2 linked regions of the Rattus norvegicus genome follow. The protein of the gene in region 1 purifies or fractionates together with the protein of each later gene. This does not show direct contact. Links are inferred from orthologs where the notes say so. Each region holds a gene or a part of one and is shown on either strand. Other genes may lie near its edges.

What was found.
Region 2: the proteins of Jup (region 1) and Dsg2 purify together in Homo sapiens (affinity purification with western blotting; 3 studies listed by BioGRID and IntAct, with this or other methods). This does not show direct contact. The link is inferred for Rattus norvegicus from reciprocal best matches to the Homo sapiens genes JUP and DSG2.

Annotation. Positions count from the first base shown.
Region 1 is NC_086028.1:85,822,267-85,831,659, reverse strand, and holds the start of Jup (junction plakoglobin), read left to right. Parts: upstream 1-4,230; 5' UTR 4,231-4,616; exon of another isoform or gene 4,617-4,689; intron 4,690-7,320; exon of another isoform or gene 7,321-7,401; intron 7,402-9,393. UniProt on the Homo sapiens protein: Common junctional plaque protein. The membrane-associated plaques are architectural elements in an important strategic position to influence the arrangement and function of both the cytoskeleton and the cells within the tissue.
Region 2 is NC_086036.1:12,156,820-12,165,625, forward strand, and holds part of Dsg2 (desmoglein-2 precursor), read left to right. Parts: intron 1-2,886; coding exon 2,887-3,029; intron 3,030-3,312; coding exon 3,313-3,540; intron 3,541-5,656; coding exon 5,657-5,884; intron 5,885-7,457; coding exon 7,458-7,579; intron 7,580-8,806.

The sequences.
Region 1 (9,393 bases):
CGGCCTTCTCCCCTAGTTGACCCTGGGTAGAGACTCAACCTCAGGAAGGTCAGGTCAAAGATAAAAAGTTGGAGCCTTTAAAGGTTAAGACTGGGAACAGAAGGTCTCTTCCCCTAGCCTAAGGATGGCTCTATACCTGGAATGATAGCTAAGCATGAGCACGAAACCATTAGATTTTAACATTGCCTTTAATAGAGAGCGGCCCAGAACAGCTTCATCTGTTTGTATTTGTTCTTTATCAGTGTTAAACAGAAGCCCCTGCATGATTCAAAGGCCGAAGGTCTGTGTGTGTGTGTGTGTGTGTGTGTGTCTGTCTGTCTGTCTGTCTGTGTCTGTCTGTCTGTGTGTGTGTGTCTATGTGTGTGTGTGTCTGTCTGTCTGTGTGTGTGTGTCTATGTGTGTGTGTCTGTGTGTGTGTCTGTCTGTGCGTGTATGTGTCTGTGTGTGTGTGTGTGTGTCTGTGTGTCTGTGCGTCTGTGTGTCCAAATACAGCCGTCCATCAGGAGGGCTCTCTCCACGGCGTAAAGATGAAGTTCAAACCAAGAAGAGAAACACAGGCTGGTGAGATGGCTCAGTGGGTAAAGGTGTTTTCTCTGCATGCCTGGCAACCTGAATTGAGTTTCCAGAACCCGCATTTGAAATGACAGGAATTGTTGAACTTGGCAAAACTGTCGTATGACCTTCACAGGCAAGCTATGGCACACCCACCCTCATCATGCATACATACGATAATTAGAAGAAGAAAGAACAGAAACTCTCCTGCTTCCTTATACGGCCCGGAGGCCTATAAGGAGGTATGAGGAAGAAATGACATAAGCAGAGGAGGCGTCCTGACTGCTCTGGACAATATCTGATTGATGTTCACCTTTGCCTTAAAGAGGTTCTCCAACGCACACCCCCTAATCTTGATCATTGGCTTTTGTCTCTGGGGAGCCTGGGATGGGGCTGGTTGGTGCTCCATTACTCCCGACTCTCAGGCTCCAAAAGGCTGCAAGGCTGAGTTAATCAGATACGTCTTGGTGGCCCACGGATTTAATGCCTACTGAGCTCCGGGCAAGGGAAATGAGGTTAAGCTGCAGGGATACAAGTTGAAGCTAGACATCAGAGGAAACTCACCACTATCAGAAAAAAAGGAGACAAGGCCGTTTGCTATAAGGGAGACTGAAGAATTTCCCTTTTTTGGAGATTTGTCAAATACAAAAATTCTTACCTTTAAAGGCTGGGAAGCTGGAGATTGGGTTAGATGCCCTTGTGCCCTCTCCTTAAAGTTCAAGGTGCAAAGGAGACCATGGTCACAGGGTCACAGCAATGTCCAGTTCCACTCCTGTGTGCCCCCTTCCCTCCAGGAGATCAAATCCCCTATGCAAAAGAACAGATTCCAGGAACGACTATTTTCTGATTCCTTTACATATCCTCTGATGCAGATGAAGCCCTGGTGCTTGGCAGGCACCAGGCACATAGTAGGCGATTAAGAAACACACAGGAAATCCATCCATCTGGGAGGAACTGGCTCTGTTTTCTACATTGGAGCCTCCATGCGGGGTTGGGGGGTGGTGTTTAGCTTTGGCCTCAACAACGTGCCGTGTGGCTTGTTACATGCTAAGACAAGCAGGGGTGCCCTTCTGCAGACACACAGAGTTTATCCAGAAGCCCCAAATCCTTCCTCCAATACCACCTAGGCTAGTCTATTCCCCTCTCCAGCCTTCCCCTGCTGCGAGTTGGCTGAAGGGAGGAAGAAAGGCAGCAGAGAAAAGCTTGGAAGTGGTGTGTGACTGGGTGGGAGGAATGGGTGAAGGTGGAACCCTGGCAGAGGTAGCAGCTTGGGACAGTGAGTCTGGGATGATCACTGTGGAGAGTGGCAAGTGGCAGGTGGGGGCATGGATTAGGTAGAGATAAGGACCCTCAGGTAAGCTGGCAGGGAAACAGCAGAGTGGAGGGGTCCTGGCAACTTGGCACATACATAGCTACAGCTAGATCAGGGATGCTGCAATCTTCCTCTCCCTTCCAGGAAGACTTACTGGATGGAAGAGAGCAAGTTAAGCCTCGTTCCTTTCTCTGTTGGGGTAATGTGGTCAAAGATACTGTTAGGATATCTTCATCTGGAGTTATATTAGCCCATAAGTTCTCGTGTGCGTGCGTGCATGTGTGTGTGTGTGTGTGTGTGTGTGTGTGTGTATGTGTGTGTGTGTGTGTGTGTGTGTGTGTGTGCGCGCGCGCGCGCTCGCGCGCTCGCGTGTGTTTTCAGGAAATTCTTTTCTAAACAGCCACTCCCCCAACTCCCACCCACACAAGCTGTTTCCTCTTGCCACTCTGTAAGCTCTCTGAGAGTTAGGGTACTTTTAATTATCTGTGCAGCCAAAGTCTACACTGGCGCCCAGCATAGAGTTGGTGCTCAGTACTCTCGTTGAGCGAATGAATGCCTACAGACCCTTGGTTCATGTTGCAGCCGCTACAGTAGTCATCAACCGCAGGGAGAAATACCCACATCTTCTCAGGCTACCTATTGAGTTCTTTTGGATAGCTCAGCAGCCTTGCCCGCTATGGAGGGCTTGCTGCCCGCTTTTGTTTAGAACCAAGCTCCTTTTCTTTCCATCCACTGGCTTCCCCACCCCCCCCCCAAACCCACCAAAGCTTCTTTACATCATGATTTAATCTTTGACGGAATCGCTTTGTCTGTGTCTCCCTGGAGAGGTATCCACCGTCCGCCCGAACCCCTACAAACACATACTGACCATTCTGTTCTTAAAATAAGGTGTCCAAGTTTACAGTGCACCACATTTCCTAGTCTTTCGATCTCTGGAGCTTAGTTTTAAAATCGCATTACACTGTATTTACTTTTATGTGTGTGGCACTTGTGCCAAGGCGGGAGATCAGGGGACAGAGGACAACCTTTTGGACTTGGTCTACCTCCACCAGGTATCAAACTCAGGTCATCACACTTGCCCAACTGAGACATCACACAAGCCCATTAAAGATTCTCTTAATGCGGATCATTTTGAACCCTCTTTGTAGACCAGGGTGGCCTCTAACTCAGAGAGCTGCCTGCCTCTGCCTCCTTGAGTGCCGAGGTTAAGGTTAAAGGCCCGTGTCACCACTGCCTGGCTGCCTGCTCCAGCACTTTTTAAGAACTGTCTCGAACGGACCATCTCACTGGCTTAAATACTGACATTCCTCAGCTGTTTAAGCTACAAAGTTTATTTAATCTCTCCAACCCAAGATAGATAAAGCTAATGAACCCACTTAGATACAGGGTGAAAAGTATACTAGCTGGCCTAAGGTCATACAAAGATTAAGGGGAGAACCCAAACCAGGCCTTCTAATTCTAAACAGAAGAGAACCGGGAACACTCCATCTTTTGTAGGGGGAGAAATCCCAACCTAGCACAAAGCCTATGAAATGCTTTACAAACATCTTATTACTATGTTGAGGCAAGAATGAATAATCCTGACGCTGAGTTGGCTGGCTAGTGAAGGCGTCAGTCCTTTCCCATGCTTCCCCCTGACTCACCTGTTGGACAGGTAGGGGGAAGGGGAGAATAATGAGTCTTACCTGCTCAGGGCTAGGGTGGGGCAAGTAACGCCCCACCTGTTCCATTGGCTTTTGCCTTAGTCTTACTGACAGCCCTCTGTCCAATCATAAGGAAGAAACTTTCTATTTGCCAATAGATGCAGAGTGAGGATGAGACCTCAAGTTGGCGTCCACCCCAGAGTCGACTGGCAGTCCCTGGGGCCAATGGTGAGCGCATAAACAGAGGCGGCCGTGGTAGAGGTCCCGGCGTGAGGCTCCGCCCCTCAATAGGATAGTCAGGCTGGGCAGCCAGTGAGATAACCTCAGAGGGTGGGAGTCTCCCTAGGGGGCGGAGCTTCAAGGGGGCGAGAGGTGTGGCTTGGCTGTCAGGTCCCTTTGCCTTTTGTTCGGTTACTGAGTTGCTGCCTTGGCCAGAGTCCGGAGCAGCCGCCGCCCGAGCGCCCCGAGCTCAGTTCGCTGCCTGCGCCGGCTGTCTCCCGGCCAGACCCGACCCCGACCCGGCTCGGCCCGGCTCCACGCTCAGGTACACCGGATAGGGGTACGTATCACTGAGGGTAGAGTAGGGCAAGCGGCCGAGAGGTTGGTTCCAGCGGTTTCAGGGCAGGTGAGGGCGGGTGCCAGGGAGTGCATCCTACACCAGCGACAGGGGGCGCACTGGGGTCCGGGGCACGGGACCCCTGGGACAAGCGATCTGGGTTGGAGCGCCCCTCCAGGCTCGGTGAACCGCAGGTCTGAGAAGGGCGGGGAGGAACTAGGGCAGGTGCCTCGGAGTTCGCGCCTCCCCCAGGGCCCGCGGAGCTTGCCCGACGCGGCGTCGCTGACTCTCCCCTGGAGCTGACCGGGCAGACTTTGACCCGCTCCGCCTGGTCCCAGATCCCACGGTGACAGGAATTTACCGCTCGGGAAACTTGCTGCCTAGTCTCTTTGGGGCCACCCTCACCCCACCCCACGCGTCATCCTCGCTTTCCCTCCCTCCCTACTCCCCCAGGCCTGGGTGGGGCCCTATTGTCTGCGCCCAGCTTACCCAACTGTGGGGGCCGAGTGCACATTTTCCCAGAGACGCGATTCCCACCTGCTGAGCAGAGCAGGTGAGCGCTTGGAGGACCGAGGCCCTGCCCTGTAGCTCCGAGCTGGACCTGTGGCGCCTCCCTCCGCTCTAGTGTACGCCGGTCTATGGCTTCTCTTACGGAGGTGGATGGGGTGACGGGGGAACTGGTGAAGGGTCTGGGCTCAGTGCCCTACCGATGTCTGTCTGACCTGGTGGCATGGCCTGGAGTCTGGGCCGGTAGAGAAAATTAAGAAACACTCGCCCAGATTTTAGTAGCTTGTGGTTTCCAGAGTGTTGGTAGGGAAACAGCGATATCTTTTGATTTCTGCAACCCATTATTGTTGAGAAATCACTCCAAACAAACTTTCCAGGAGAAAGTAACCGTGGGGGCCTTTTCTAGGATTTTCCCCGTCTCCTTGTTGAGAGCTGATTCAAGGCTTGGTGGTACTTCTTAGAGGAAAGCCTCTTCCCTGGTCAGCTCCAAGCTGAACACAGCCTGTGCGCTTTGACCCGGTTCTCCCTGCCCCCACCTCCATCCTGTTTGCTAGGCCCCTAAGGCCCGAGGTAGGGACCAATGGGGGTGGGTGGGGGCGTTGCTGAAAAGGGAAGTGTCTTCTTCCTTCCCTTTTCGCATCCTCACGGGACCACCACACCCCCTTATATGAGGCCTGCTAAGTGCCTCTCCTCCCAAGCTCTGCCCCTTCCCCAGGAATGGGGTTGGGGCAGGGCTGGGCCAAACTAGGAAGATTGGGAAGAGTGATTAATCTTTCCCCAACTCCCCCGTTCCATCCCCCAGCTTATTTAGCTGGCTGACCATTGAGGCAGGGTAGCATAGGGCAGGAATGTTGCTTGCTGTTCACTGGGTTTGAATTATGAAGGTGCGTCCTTTCTAGAGGACTTGCCAGAAGTCCCTCCTCCACCCACTCTTTAACTGAGTGTTTGGCGGGGAAAGTGGGACAGGAGGAAGTCTTTGCTATGGAAGGCTTCTGCCATGCCAGGCACCCTCAGGGTGAACAGTGTGAGCCCTCCCCTTGGTTCCCTGTGCTGAGAGCTCCTCTCCAGCTGGAATTGTCAACTTCTACTCGGCTTGCTGCACTCTTCTGTACAAATCTGAAGATTGGCCTTTTCATAGGCATTTGGAGTCCAGTCTTCTTGGGGGGACAGAGCAGGAATGACAACGCTAGCGGGGGGGGGGGGCAGAGGGAAGATGGGGTGGGGGTCGTGAGCACTGTTTGCTCTGATTCTCCTGGAAGCTGAGGTGGTGCTTGGTTGTGAATAGAAGAGTGGGGGTGGGAGACATATCCCCCGTAATCTCGCCTTAGGTCCTGTGGTTGGTAAAATATGTGTGACCACCTCTAGGAAGAACTGGGGGCATTAGTTTTAGGCTCATGTCCTCTCCGTGTCAAGGAGGAGGAGGGGTAGGCATTGTCATTAGGTGAACTAAATGAATAGTTTAGCAAATCTGGTTCGTGGCTCTGGTGAAAAGACAGTACTGAGGAAGAAGTAGGGCTATGAGCTGCCCGGCCCAAGCTGGCTTCTGACGGACAGGAGGGAGGGGAAGCAAAGGTAGGATCCGATTAGTCATTTCTCACCAGATCAAGTCTGGGCTTGGGTGACAGAAGCCTCCCCCGCACCCGAGCTCCACCCCATTCCCTCTGGAGCCGCCGTCTGGCCTGCTAAGGTTGAGCTTGGAGAATGCAGCCTGTGGGAACGGAAGGTCAGGCGGGGCCTGCTTGACTGTTTTCCTTCCTGGGGGCCCACAGGTCATTGCCTATGAGAGGGAGGCCTGTCGTCCTGCAGAGCTGCTTTAGGACAAGGTGACACATTTGGCTGGTCCACAGAAGGACAGTGATCTAGGGAGACAGTCTAAGGGGTCAGCTCTGAGAACAGGGACTTGGACTGAGATAGTTTGAATCCCTGAGCAGTGTCTCCTTACCTGTGCAGCCTGCGTCAAAGCACCTTCCTGGCTCAGCGACCTCAGGAATTAATAAACCTAGCTACCCAGAAAGTACTTGACTGATGGTAACTCAAAGCCAGAAGACTGTCTGGTACCAAGCGCCACTAACCATGCTCACAGAGGCAGGCGCACTTTTTTTTTTTTTTAAAGATTTATTTATTTATTTTATGTATATGAACACACTGTAGCTGTCTTCAGACATACCAGAAGAGGGTATCAGATCTCATTACAGATGGTTGTGAGCCACCATGTGGTTGCTGGGAATTGAACTCAGGACCTCTGGAAGAGCAGGCAATGCTCTTAACCACTGAGCCATCTCTCCAGCCCGAGGCAGGCGCACTTTAATGTCTTCTTCAGAAACTCAGGGAAGGATAGCAACTTGCCCAGTGTTGCTAGACTCAAGAGAGGGCTAAGCTCAGACCTCATTCTGCTGTTAGGCTCTACTACAACTCTGGAAGGATTTCTTTTTTCTTTCCCCTTTTTCTTTTGGCTGCTAAGGACCAAATCCAGGGCCTTGTGGATTTGCACGTAGGCAAGCACTTTCCCATGGGATCCATCATCGGCCCTGGATGGAAGTTGTATCCCCCCACTGTCCTTTAATTTTTTTTTTTTCGGAGCTGGGGACCGAACCCAGGGCCTTGCGCTTGCTAGGCAAGTGCTCTACCACTGAGCTAAATCCCCAACCCGCCCCCCCCCCCCCCCGTCCTTTCTTGACAGTCTCTTGTAGCCTAGGCTAGCCTCTGAGGTTGACCTTGAACTACTTCCTTTCTTTTTGATGACAGGGTCTCAAAGTGCAGCCCTGACTGGCCTAGAACTTGCTGTATAGACTGGAGAGGGGAGGGTTTCAAACTGCTCCCCGGGATAACAGGTGCGTGCCACCATGCCCAGGCAAACTTTATAAAACATTCATCATCATCATCATCTTTATGTATGTATGTATGTATGTATGTATGTATGTATGTATGTATGTATGTTGTGTGTGCCTGTGTGTCTGAGCATGCACAAGACCTCTGTGGAGATCAGAGAACAACCTTCAGGAGTTTTTTTTTTCCTTCCACCCTTTAGCCCAATCAGCCATCTGTCAACTCTTCAGACTTTGAACTTGCCATCCTCCTGCCTCTACCTCTCAAGTGCTGGAATCACAGGCATGCGGCACTGTAGCTGGCTTATACCGTGCTGGGGGGTCGGACCCAGGGCTTCCTATAAGCTAGGCGACCGCTCTACCAAGGAAGCTACCTCTTATCCCTAAATGGAAGTTTTTTTACTGCCCCTTTTGGAGGGCCTCAGCTCCAAGGATAGAAGGGAATTTAGGAGAGCCCTGCTAGACGTGTGGGGGTGGTGAAGGCGGGACAGGTTTGTCAGGTGGGAGTGACTCATCCCCTGGCTGCCAGTACTCTGAAGCCTCACCGGCTGCCCGCTCGCCTTGGTCGCTGTGGTAGGTGGTAAGGCAGCTCCTCCAGACCAAGAGCTGAGAGGGTCTAAGTTAGGGGAGACCAGAGGGAAGGACAGCATGGTTCAGAGCTTTCTAGGCTGGACCCCGGATAGGAGGTGGGAGCTACCTGCTTCACTAACTAGTGTCTGGGGCTTTGCCAAGTTTAAGTGGGCATGGGCGGGGGCTGAGGCAGGGGAGACACATGAGTCAGATTTAGGCTCGGGTTGAGAGTCCTGCTGGAGCATGCCAGTTAGCACAGCCAGGCTGCCTGGAGAGGAGTTTTCTACTGCCCTGTCCTGTCTGGAGACCCTAGCATCTAGGCAATGAAAACCTCTACAGGAGGGCCTTTCTGTGGGAGTAGGGTGAGGGGTTGTGGGGGGGGAGGTTGGTGCCTGTCAGCCAGAGCCCTAGTCCTCAAGGGAGGATTTGGTGGTGCAAGGTCTTCTTAGGTATGACTGGTTTGGACCCCTCTGCCAACCCAGCACCTGGCTCCAGAATGGGCCTGGGAGTGGGAACCTGGGGCTAGGCTGAGCCTGCGCACTGGTACATCCTGAAGACTGAGGCTCTTACTACCGGATCTTAAGATTCCGGACGGAACCACAGCATGATTACTGATCTTAGCGAAGAGAGCCCTCAGCCAGGAGCCTTGACTTAAGCACAGATGGAGAATGGAGTCATTCTGGCAGAGCACACCGCACAGGGAGATGGATGGACTTGTGGCTTTCTAGCACCCTGAGGCCACAGGGACAAGGTGGGTGGGTGGGGCACACAGATGTCCTTATGAAAAGAAGAGGCTAGAACAGAAAAAAGGACTTCGTATCCAGAAGACAGTGTCAGGTCCTCAGCAGGCAGAGTTAGTTATAGAGGACCCTGAGCTGCTATGTGGGTTCTGGGAACTGGTCTGGGTCCTTTCCAAGAGCCTAAGCACTCTTAACTGCTGAGACCTTTCTCCAGCCCCAGATGGGAGGTCTTCCCTTCAAAGGGAGAAGCAGGTGGAGGTTCACAGTAGAGTCTCCTCTGGAGAGGGCCACCCTTGCTCAGGAGTTACTCCCTGTAGGGGAAGAGTCAGTCTGAGACCTACTGAGTCCTTGGAGGAAACTTCTTTGGGGGACTTTAGGAAGAAGGACCACAGGGCCTAATAGAAAACTAGCATCTGGCAGCTGGCTGACCCAGCAACTCTGAAAGAAAAAGGTAGTGAGATGGACCAGGATGGGTCACTGGGATTTGTGTCTCTGCAGATGACAGACACCTTGAGGCCTTTGTCTTGGGACGTGGTTGACTGTCCCATTTTCTAGCAACTTCCTGGCTAGGTTTGGAGAGAGAGAGAGAGAGAGAGAGAGAGAGAGAGAGAGAGAGAGAGAGAGAGAGAGAGGAGAGAGAGAGAGTTCTTTGACTATCTGCTTGTGCTAGCCTCCTGGCCTCTTAACT
Region 2 (8,806 bases), on another chromosome or scaffold:
TCGTTCCCAGCACACTAGGGCGTAAAGAAGTAGTAGATAAGATTAACTTCGTGCTAAGAATGCCAGCACCTGCCTGTAATCCAGTACTGTAGGGGCTGAGGCAGAGGAATTCTGAGATCCTGGCCAAGCTGAGCTACGCAGGGAGACCCTGTCTCAAATAAGTGAGTGAAGAGAAAGTCTTGCTACAAATGCCACTTTACAAACACATTTTTTTAAACACTGTTTCAATATATGTTCCAATATAAGAGAAGTCATTTTATGTGCAAATACATGTTGTATATTTTCTATCTTTATTCAGGCCATTTTATTTAGTTCAAGAAGGGGTGAGCTTTTTTGTGTATGCACTTGACTGAATGTCTGTGCACCACATGAGTTCACAGAGTTGAGGGCAGCTGGGGGCCAGCCTGTGGGTGCTCTCCTAGGTCACTGAGCACTCTTAACCACTGAGCCACCTTTCCAGAGGGCTTAGGTGTGTATTGATCCCAGCAGCCATTACTTAGAAGGTTTGTTAAGAACTGAGTGGATATTGTCACTGTACTAAAAGGATTTCATTGTGTCCCGCCTATAGTGCCAGTGTACACTGTAAATCTCTGTCTTAGCTCTAGGGTCTCACTGTGGGAGAGCTCCATGTAAACCTGCTATCTGTGTAGTTCTTTGGGTTGGGTTATTCGGCTGCTGAAACACAGCTTTGGGGGACTTTCTGTTCTGTGGCCGAGATACTCTCTTGCTCATGTGTCCATATGCCTGTGACCCTGGGTGCTGGCGCCCCATAAAACACCTCATCTAAAACCAGGGCCCACTGTGGCAGAGGGAAAGGCAGAGAAAGCTCCCCACCTGTGTGCTCCCATTCCCATCTGTGTCTCCATTAGTGGAACCTATCAGTCATAGAATAGATAACTCTTTCCCAATTTCATATAAATAAGCATCGCCCACTGTTGCCTGGAATCTCCTCGTGACCATCTTTACTGATGTTGCCTGCGGGAGGCCACGCTGCTCTTCCCAGGTGGGCGGTCTCTACTTTTAGCCTTCATGGCGCTACCTACCTAACATGGCAGCCCCTACCTGACTCCCCAGGATGCTATTCTGTGCGCTTTCTCTCTGCATTCACTGAGAAGCTTGTGTGTTCTAATAATGACCCAATTGAAAATGGCTTCCTGACTTTTTTTTTTTTTAAATCTTGCTGCTATTTTTATCAGGGCCTGTGACTATCATCGAAATGGTACATGTTCTTTGAAGGATGATAAGCTGTTTCTCCAAGCAGTCCTATTTCCTTTCTTTAGCGTGCATTATGGAACATTAGAAAGGGAGCACCCTTGACCAGGGCTCACACATGGGCATTTTCATGGGTTCTGGGAGGCAGAGCTAGTTAGATCATTTAACCATTTAACTAGTGAAGTCTTCAAGAAGATCAGGAGAGACGGCTCAGCAGGAGAGAGCCTTGCTCTTTTGTAGAGGAACTGAACCTTGCTTGCATGGCTCTCAATCCCCCATAGCTCCAGTTCCAGAGGTTCTGGCCCCCTCTTCTGGCCTCTGAGGCCACCTGCATGTATCCACACACACATAAGCACACTTACACAGAATTTAATATTAAAATAAAATCCTTTTTAAAAACTTAATAAGGACAGCAAGAGAACCATATTTTTTTTTCTCTTTTTCGGAGCTGGGGACCGAACCCAGGGTCTTGCGCTCGCTAGGCAAGCGCTCTACCGCTGAGCTAAATCCCCAACCCCGAGAACCATATTTTTCAGATACACCAGAAGAGGGCATCGGATCTCATTACAGATGGTTGTGAGCCACCATGTGGTTGCTGGGAATTGAACTCAGGACCTCTGGAAGAGCAGTCAGTGCTCTTAACCACTGAGCCATCTCTCCAGCCCGAGAACCATATTTTTAATGTTGTCAGTGTGGTGTCGTACTGATTATTCACTCAGTAATTTATCAGTATTTGAGACACCGCGTGAGCCTAGAAGCAGAGTTCCACAACAGATTAGTTGCAAAGCTCTTTGAGTGACGTCACCTAATGCATCCATTGGGACACGTAGATTTACTGCTTAGATGACCTTATTACATAAGAGCTATGAAAATGGGAAAATGGGGCAGACGATCAACACCTACTTTAGAATTCCTGACATTCAAAAGTACTTGTGAAAATCCAAGTGTGTTACCATTTGCTTTTTCTAGTTTTATTGTTTGTTTATTAAGATGATATCATCAGCCCAGGCTGGCCTTGAACTCACTGCGTAGCCAAGGATGAACTTGAACTCCTGGTCCTACTTTTGCTTCCCTCTATAATTATTTACTACAGACAATAATGAGAGGCATTAAAATGTAGTTCAAGGATATAATTGGATTACCCCCAAATACTGTGCACAAATATCACTCTAAGTCAGACACCCGGTCTTGTGCGCTTAAATAGCTACTTCGTAGAAAATAAATTATCGATGTGATTGGCTGAACCAAGACACTCATGCGTTGGGCTTGTGTTTGTATTTTTATGTGTTAAGCGCAGTAGTATTCACTGTATATAATTCTGAAAACCCGGTAAGAGCATCTACTCTCTGCTTTCCACTTTGATTTTCCTTGATTTCAGAGAAAAAAGATTCAGGAGCTCAATGATTTCATTTTAAATCATTTCTTCTTGAGAGTCTTCATTCCTAACCCTATACCATGTTTCAATTCCTTCCATTTAAGTCAACCGCTAATTTTTTTTTTGTAATTTTTACATTCTGACAATATCTCAGTAGACTATATAGCATAAGCCTACCCCACCTGCCTTGTGACATTCAAACCCAGGGTACTGGGATAAAGTTAACTCTACAAGAGGTACAGATGTTAGCTCCAATGTATCCAGAACTAAAAGTGAACCTGGCGTTTGTTTTGTAACAGGTACGTAAAAGTGCAAGACACCGACAACTGGGTCTCTGTGGACTCTGAAACTTCAGAGATTAAGCTGGTAAAGATTCCCGACTTTGAATCTCGACACGTCCAGAATGGCACCTACACTGTAAAGGTTGTCGCTATATCCAAAGGTAAGTCAAATAAGCACATGGTTTTCGTGGTTAAATGCATTTAGATTTTAACTTCCGCCACCAGAAGTGTTTGTTCTGACTGTGTATAAAGGGCTCATCTCGTCAGTGCGCCTGCCCATTTTTGCTTATTTTGTGACTTCGCACTGATAGGAACCTGAGAGCCAGCTGTGGGGGTTATCCCAATGCCTAGCACCCACTCTTTATCTGATTGGCTTCTGGACTGACCTGTGTCTATGGTCGGTGATGCACTCAGAGTCTGAACTCTCTCCTGCTTGCTTTCAAGGTCACCCTCAAAAAACCGTCACTGGCACCATCCTTATCAATGTTGAAGACGTCAATGACAACTGTCCCGTACTGGTGGACTCAGTACGGAGTGTCTGTGCGGATGCACCGTATGTGAACGTCACTGCGGAAGACTTGGATGGACCCCGGAACAGTGGGCCATTCACCTTCTCCATCATTGACCAGCCTCCCGGAACGGCACAGAAGTGGAAAATCACGCACCAAGAAAGTAAGTGCATCAACATCTAGACAGTAAGCATGATTGATAAGTAAGAGTTTACAACAGGCCGTTTCTTCTCCCAAATTGTATTTCCAGTATAACTTTCAGTACAGTTTTAGTCCAGGCATAGTGGGCACACTGTGAAAGAATTCCCAGTGCTGGGAGGAAGAACACAGCCCTCCATGAGAGCTCTGTGAGTTCAAGGCCAGGTTAGTCTACATCAGAAGTTCCAGCTCCCCATCCCCCAAGCTCCACAGTGAGACCCTGTATCAAAAATAGTAGTCATGATGGTAATATAAACCATGAGTCTTCTCTCAAATCGTGCTTCAATGCATCCCTAGTGTAGGCTTTAAGAGGGAAATAAAATGAGGGTCTAAACTCTAAACCTACAGTTGTATCTTAGCGCTGTGGACCTGTGGATATTTAAAACGATCTAGCTTGTCTTAAGGGAGGTTGGGTTTTCTCCAAGTATCTTTTCAAGTGCTTCTGTCTTAACAAGCTGAAGAGACTAGAGATTTGCCGTGTGTAACAGTTATGTGTTGTGAAGCGTGTTCCTAACAGTCCTGTTTAAAATCACATTTACTGAGCATGTACTGGGTATCACGCCTTCTGCATACACTGTCTCATTTAATCCTTGCTCAGTAACACTATTTCCCGATGGTGGGCTAGGATGCTGGCCTAACTGGGGTGTAGCAACTTCTTGAAAGGCACAGAACTAGTTTGTGGCAGAGACGATCTGGCAAAGGGTCTGAGCCGGTGCCGTAGGTGCAGTCAAACGCCTGTATCTTGCACGTAGTCCTCTTCTTGGTGTGATCTTTTGGGTGTCCTTGGGACAGTCTCCAATGCAGAAAATTCTACCCAGAAGACTCTTTAGCAAGCAGTGTTCATTTCAGAAAGGCCTACCATGCAGTTATCAGCGACTGTTCTATTGTTTACCTTAAAATAATTCACAAAAAGGTTTCGTTTGGTTTTTCTATTATTTATTAACGTCATTTGTTTCGGTTCGGTGTTTGTTTGTTTGTTTGTTTTTTGCATAATACACATATACAAATGGCTCTCAAAATTTTAGTGAGATCCTGGGAGGCAGAGGCGAGAGGATTGTTTTGAGCTTAGCCTTGACTACACATCAAGTTCCAGACTAACCTGTTCTCTATAGCAAGGTCCTGTCTCAAAGAAATAATGTGAGCAGGACATCCCAGTGGGTAAAGGTCCTTGCGGCCAAGCCTGCTTAGTGAGTTCCACACCCAGGACCTGCCTCTAACCTCCACATACTGACTGTGACACTGGAACACAGATAGAACCAGGTCTGCTCTAAATAAACAAATGTAACTTTCTTTCTTCTTTCGAGATACAACTTCAAAAATTCCCTTATTGTTTTTTTTGGGGGGGGGGGTTGTTGTTGTTTCTATTTGCTTGTTTTTTGAGACAGGATCTCGCTCTGTTGCCTGTGCTGGCCTCAAACTCTGCTGTTGTCCTGCCTCAACTTCCCGGTGCTCACATCTGTTACTTACTTTGTCTTTTTTCATGTGTCTCTCACCGTATTACAATGCTCGTTTAAATAACATGAAATGCCATTACCAAACTTTTTCACAAAAAGAAACAAAACAGTAGGTATAGAGAGAAGGTATTATCAAAAAAACAGAAAAGACCAAGATAAAAATAAAAAGACCAAGATAAAAATAAGACAGGCTTATCCTGAAAAGTATCAAAACTGGGGGTGACATCAGTTTCTGCTACATTGAAAAACTACTTTGATAGCTTCTTTTTTAATAATTGGTAATATAAGTGTCATCGAATGAAAATGTTATTCACAGAAATGACATCTCGTGTATGGTTGCATCCCCACTGACTGGAGCGTGTCACGTGGTGGCAGTTCCTAGCATTTGTTAGACCACACACAATAGCTAATCGAATCATCATGAAAGTTGTGTCCAACCCCAACCTTCTGTTAGTTAAACTTTTGAAATCTGTGGACACATTTTTGGTGAACACAGAGAATGGGCGCCCGGAGGAGGTGGGAGAAATAAAGCTTCCACCTGGGCCGCGTTAAGACCCTTTCCACGGATTCATTTCTCTTCCCTCAACAGCCGCCCGTTTCCATTCTCTTGCGTCTCCTCTCTGGCAGGTACCAGTGTGCTGCTGCAGCCAAGCGAGCGGAAGCTTGGGAGAAGTGAGATTCCCTTCCTCATCTCCGACAGCCAGGGTTTCAGCTGCCTGGAGAGGCAAGTCCTCCAGCTCACCGTGTGCGAGTGTCTGGAGGGCGGTGGCTGTGTGGCTGCGCTGTATGACAACTACGTCGGTTTGGGCCCCGCCGCGATCGCCCTCATGATTCTGGCTCTCCTGCTTCTGCTGCGTAAGTCTTCAAAGCCTGTATTCCCAGTGCCTTGACGAGTTTACTAGGTCTTCAGAAAGGACTTGCCACAGCCGTGCGCCGTGTGCTTATAAGGTTGTTTTTACAAACGTTTATTCCAATCCAAGCGTGATTCGCGCGCTCAACTCATTGCGTCTCCTCTGTCCCCATTCTTGGCTGCTCGGCTTGCCTCTGCTAACCCACTGCGGTCAACCCTTTCCTAAGCACCTCGGTGTGCCCTCACGCTAACAAGCTGTGTCCAGCTAGTCCTGCCTGCCCTCCGTTCTGCCCTGTAGTTGCACTGTACTTGAACTTGGGCAGAGTACCACCTCCAAGACACCCCAGGCTATCTCCACGCAAAGAGGAGAAGCCTATTAAAGACACTTACAGGTGTCTAGTTCAGTGCAAAGGTCTACAGGGCCCTCCAGCCCACCAGCTCTGTTTGATTGTGACTGACTTGACTTACCGTCGACTCGGGCGTGCATCTTTTACCCAGGAATTCCACGCCCTCTCTTCCCAGCTTCCCCGAAGTCTAACCTGGCACTCAGCCCATGACATTTGACTACTATTGATTTTTAACAATGGTGCTTAGGAGCTGGGGGTGTGGCTCCATTGGTCCTGTTTATGTGGCATGCCTGGGCTCAACCTCCAAATTCCATAAAATCAGATATGCTGTGCAGATCATCGGTGACCCCAGAACTCGGGAAGTGACGGAAGAAGGGTCTGGAGTTCAGGATCTTTCCCAGTTACATACTGAGTTCAAGGCCAGCCTGGGCTATGTAATACCCTATCTGATTGATTAATTAATTAATTGGTAAATAAATAAATGCAGGCAAAGAAAAGAAAATGGTGCTCGGGTAAGTCAAAAGTGAAGGACCAGAGAGTCAGAACTTATACAAAGCCCCACTCTGAGATGGTCTAGAATATGTTGATGTTTTATTCTGGTTTTTTTTTTCTCCCAGGTGTGTGTGTGTGTGTGTGTGTGTGTGTGTGTGTGTGTGTGTGTGTGTGTTTGTCATGCACTAGAGCATACACACACACACACACACACACACATGCATGCATGCATGTTTTATCTTGTTTTGTTTGAATGGGGCTTTAGAAACAAGGTTTCACTCTGTAGGTCCTGCTGGCCACAAACTCACAGCAATCCTCCTGTTTCAGCCTCCCAAGCATGGAAAAATTGCTACATACTGGGGAAATCACAGGCATGTGCTGCCATTCCTGGCTGCTTTTGATCACTCTGATACTTATCTTTGAGACCGTGGTCTTACAAAAATAATTTTGGAGACAGTGGTTTAAAGGATCTCATCCAGTCACCACATTCTGCTCGGAGGCCAGTGATAGGCTCTCTGTGATAAGGAAGACCTTGGAGTCAGAGGACTCTGTCTGCCTCCGGGCTTTGGTGCAATTGAACCGAAGCAAGGTTGGAAAGGTTGGGTCAGAGTGGAAAAGACAGAAAACAGAAAGATAAGACTGCAAATATGGGAAGCATGGGCTTGGAGAAGTCAGATGTGAATTCTAAGTGACGTGGGATTAGCTGGTGAATAACCTGACTCCCCTTTGCTTTGTACAGTGGTGCCGCTCTTGTTGTTGATGTGCCACTGTGGAGAGGGCGCCAAAGGCTTCGCCCCCATTCCCGGGACCATAGAGATGCTGCATCCTTGGAACAATGAAGGGGCACCACCCGAGGACAAGGTCAGCCCGCAGACAGTGATGCGATCTGCTCCTGGTCTGACTTTATTGGGGGACATAGGGAGTTTGGACAATCTCACTCTATAACTCAGACTAGCCTTGAACTCAAAGCAATCTTCCTGCCTTAGACTCCCAAGTGTGGGGATTACAGGTGTAAACCACCAGCTCCTGTTAAGAGTTTAAAGGTGGGGCTGGAGAGATGGCTCAGTGGTTAAGAGCACTGGCTGCTCTTCCAGAGGTCCTGAGTTCAAATCCCAGCAACCACATGGTGGCTCACAACCATCTGTAATGGGATCTGATGCCCTCTTCTGGTGTGTCTAAAGACAGCAACATAAAATTTAAAAAAAAGAATATTTTTGGGGTTGGGGATTTGGCTCAGTGGTAGAGCGCTTGCCTAGGAAGCACAAGGTCCTGGGTTCGATCCCTAGCCCCGAAAAAAAAGAAAAAAAAAAAAGAGTTTAAAGGTGTCTTACTTAGAGGGTGTTGGCAACACTTTTCGTCATGAAAGACTGACACAGCCATTACATTGTGAAATATATACGTTAAGAGCTGGCACTTGACTCTTAACGTCCTTGGGATCTAGGAAGTAGCAATGTCTGTAGCACTGAGCCCTACATCTGTAAGATCTGACAGTGTCACAATGAAATTGGACCCACTGCAAAACTGACCACGTGCTTGCTGGTGAGGAAGAAGCCCTACCATACCTTTCAAGGTCGCAGGAACCCGTGTGGATGTTGTAGTGTGACGGTTGAAGACAGAGAGCACTGGTCATCAGATCTCCTGCATATGCCTTCGTTGAACGACAGGTTCAAGTGATGGCATGTTCTCTCTCGTTTGCCAGAGCAGAGTAGAAAGGCTTTGACTGTACTGTGGTATGTCCTGTGCTAATGAGAGTGCAGACCATGAGTCAGCAGGTGACTAAACTGTGTAGAGCAAAGGACAGGGAAAGCACCCCGTTATTAAGTGGTCCTTTCAATGCCAGGATTGGGTCCACTCCGTTCTTCAGTATATTCCGCTGACAGAGGTGAACTCCAACTCCAAGGCGCTTATGAAGTGTGCCCAAAGCCCTTTGTCTACTGCTTGATAGTTAGCTCCCCTGTCTCTCCATTATGTCTTGACCCTGGGCCTTTCCCCTTCATCTGCCACAAGCTCCATTTCCTGCAGGATATATGTATCAATGTCAAGTGACAGGAAGCCTGAGTGCCGTCAAAGTGGTGACTCTCCATGTTG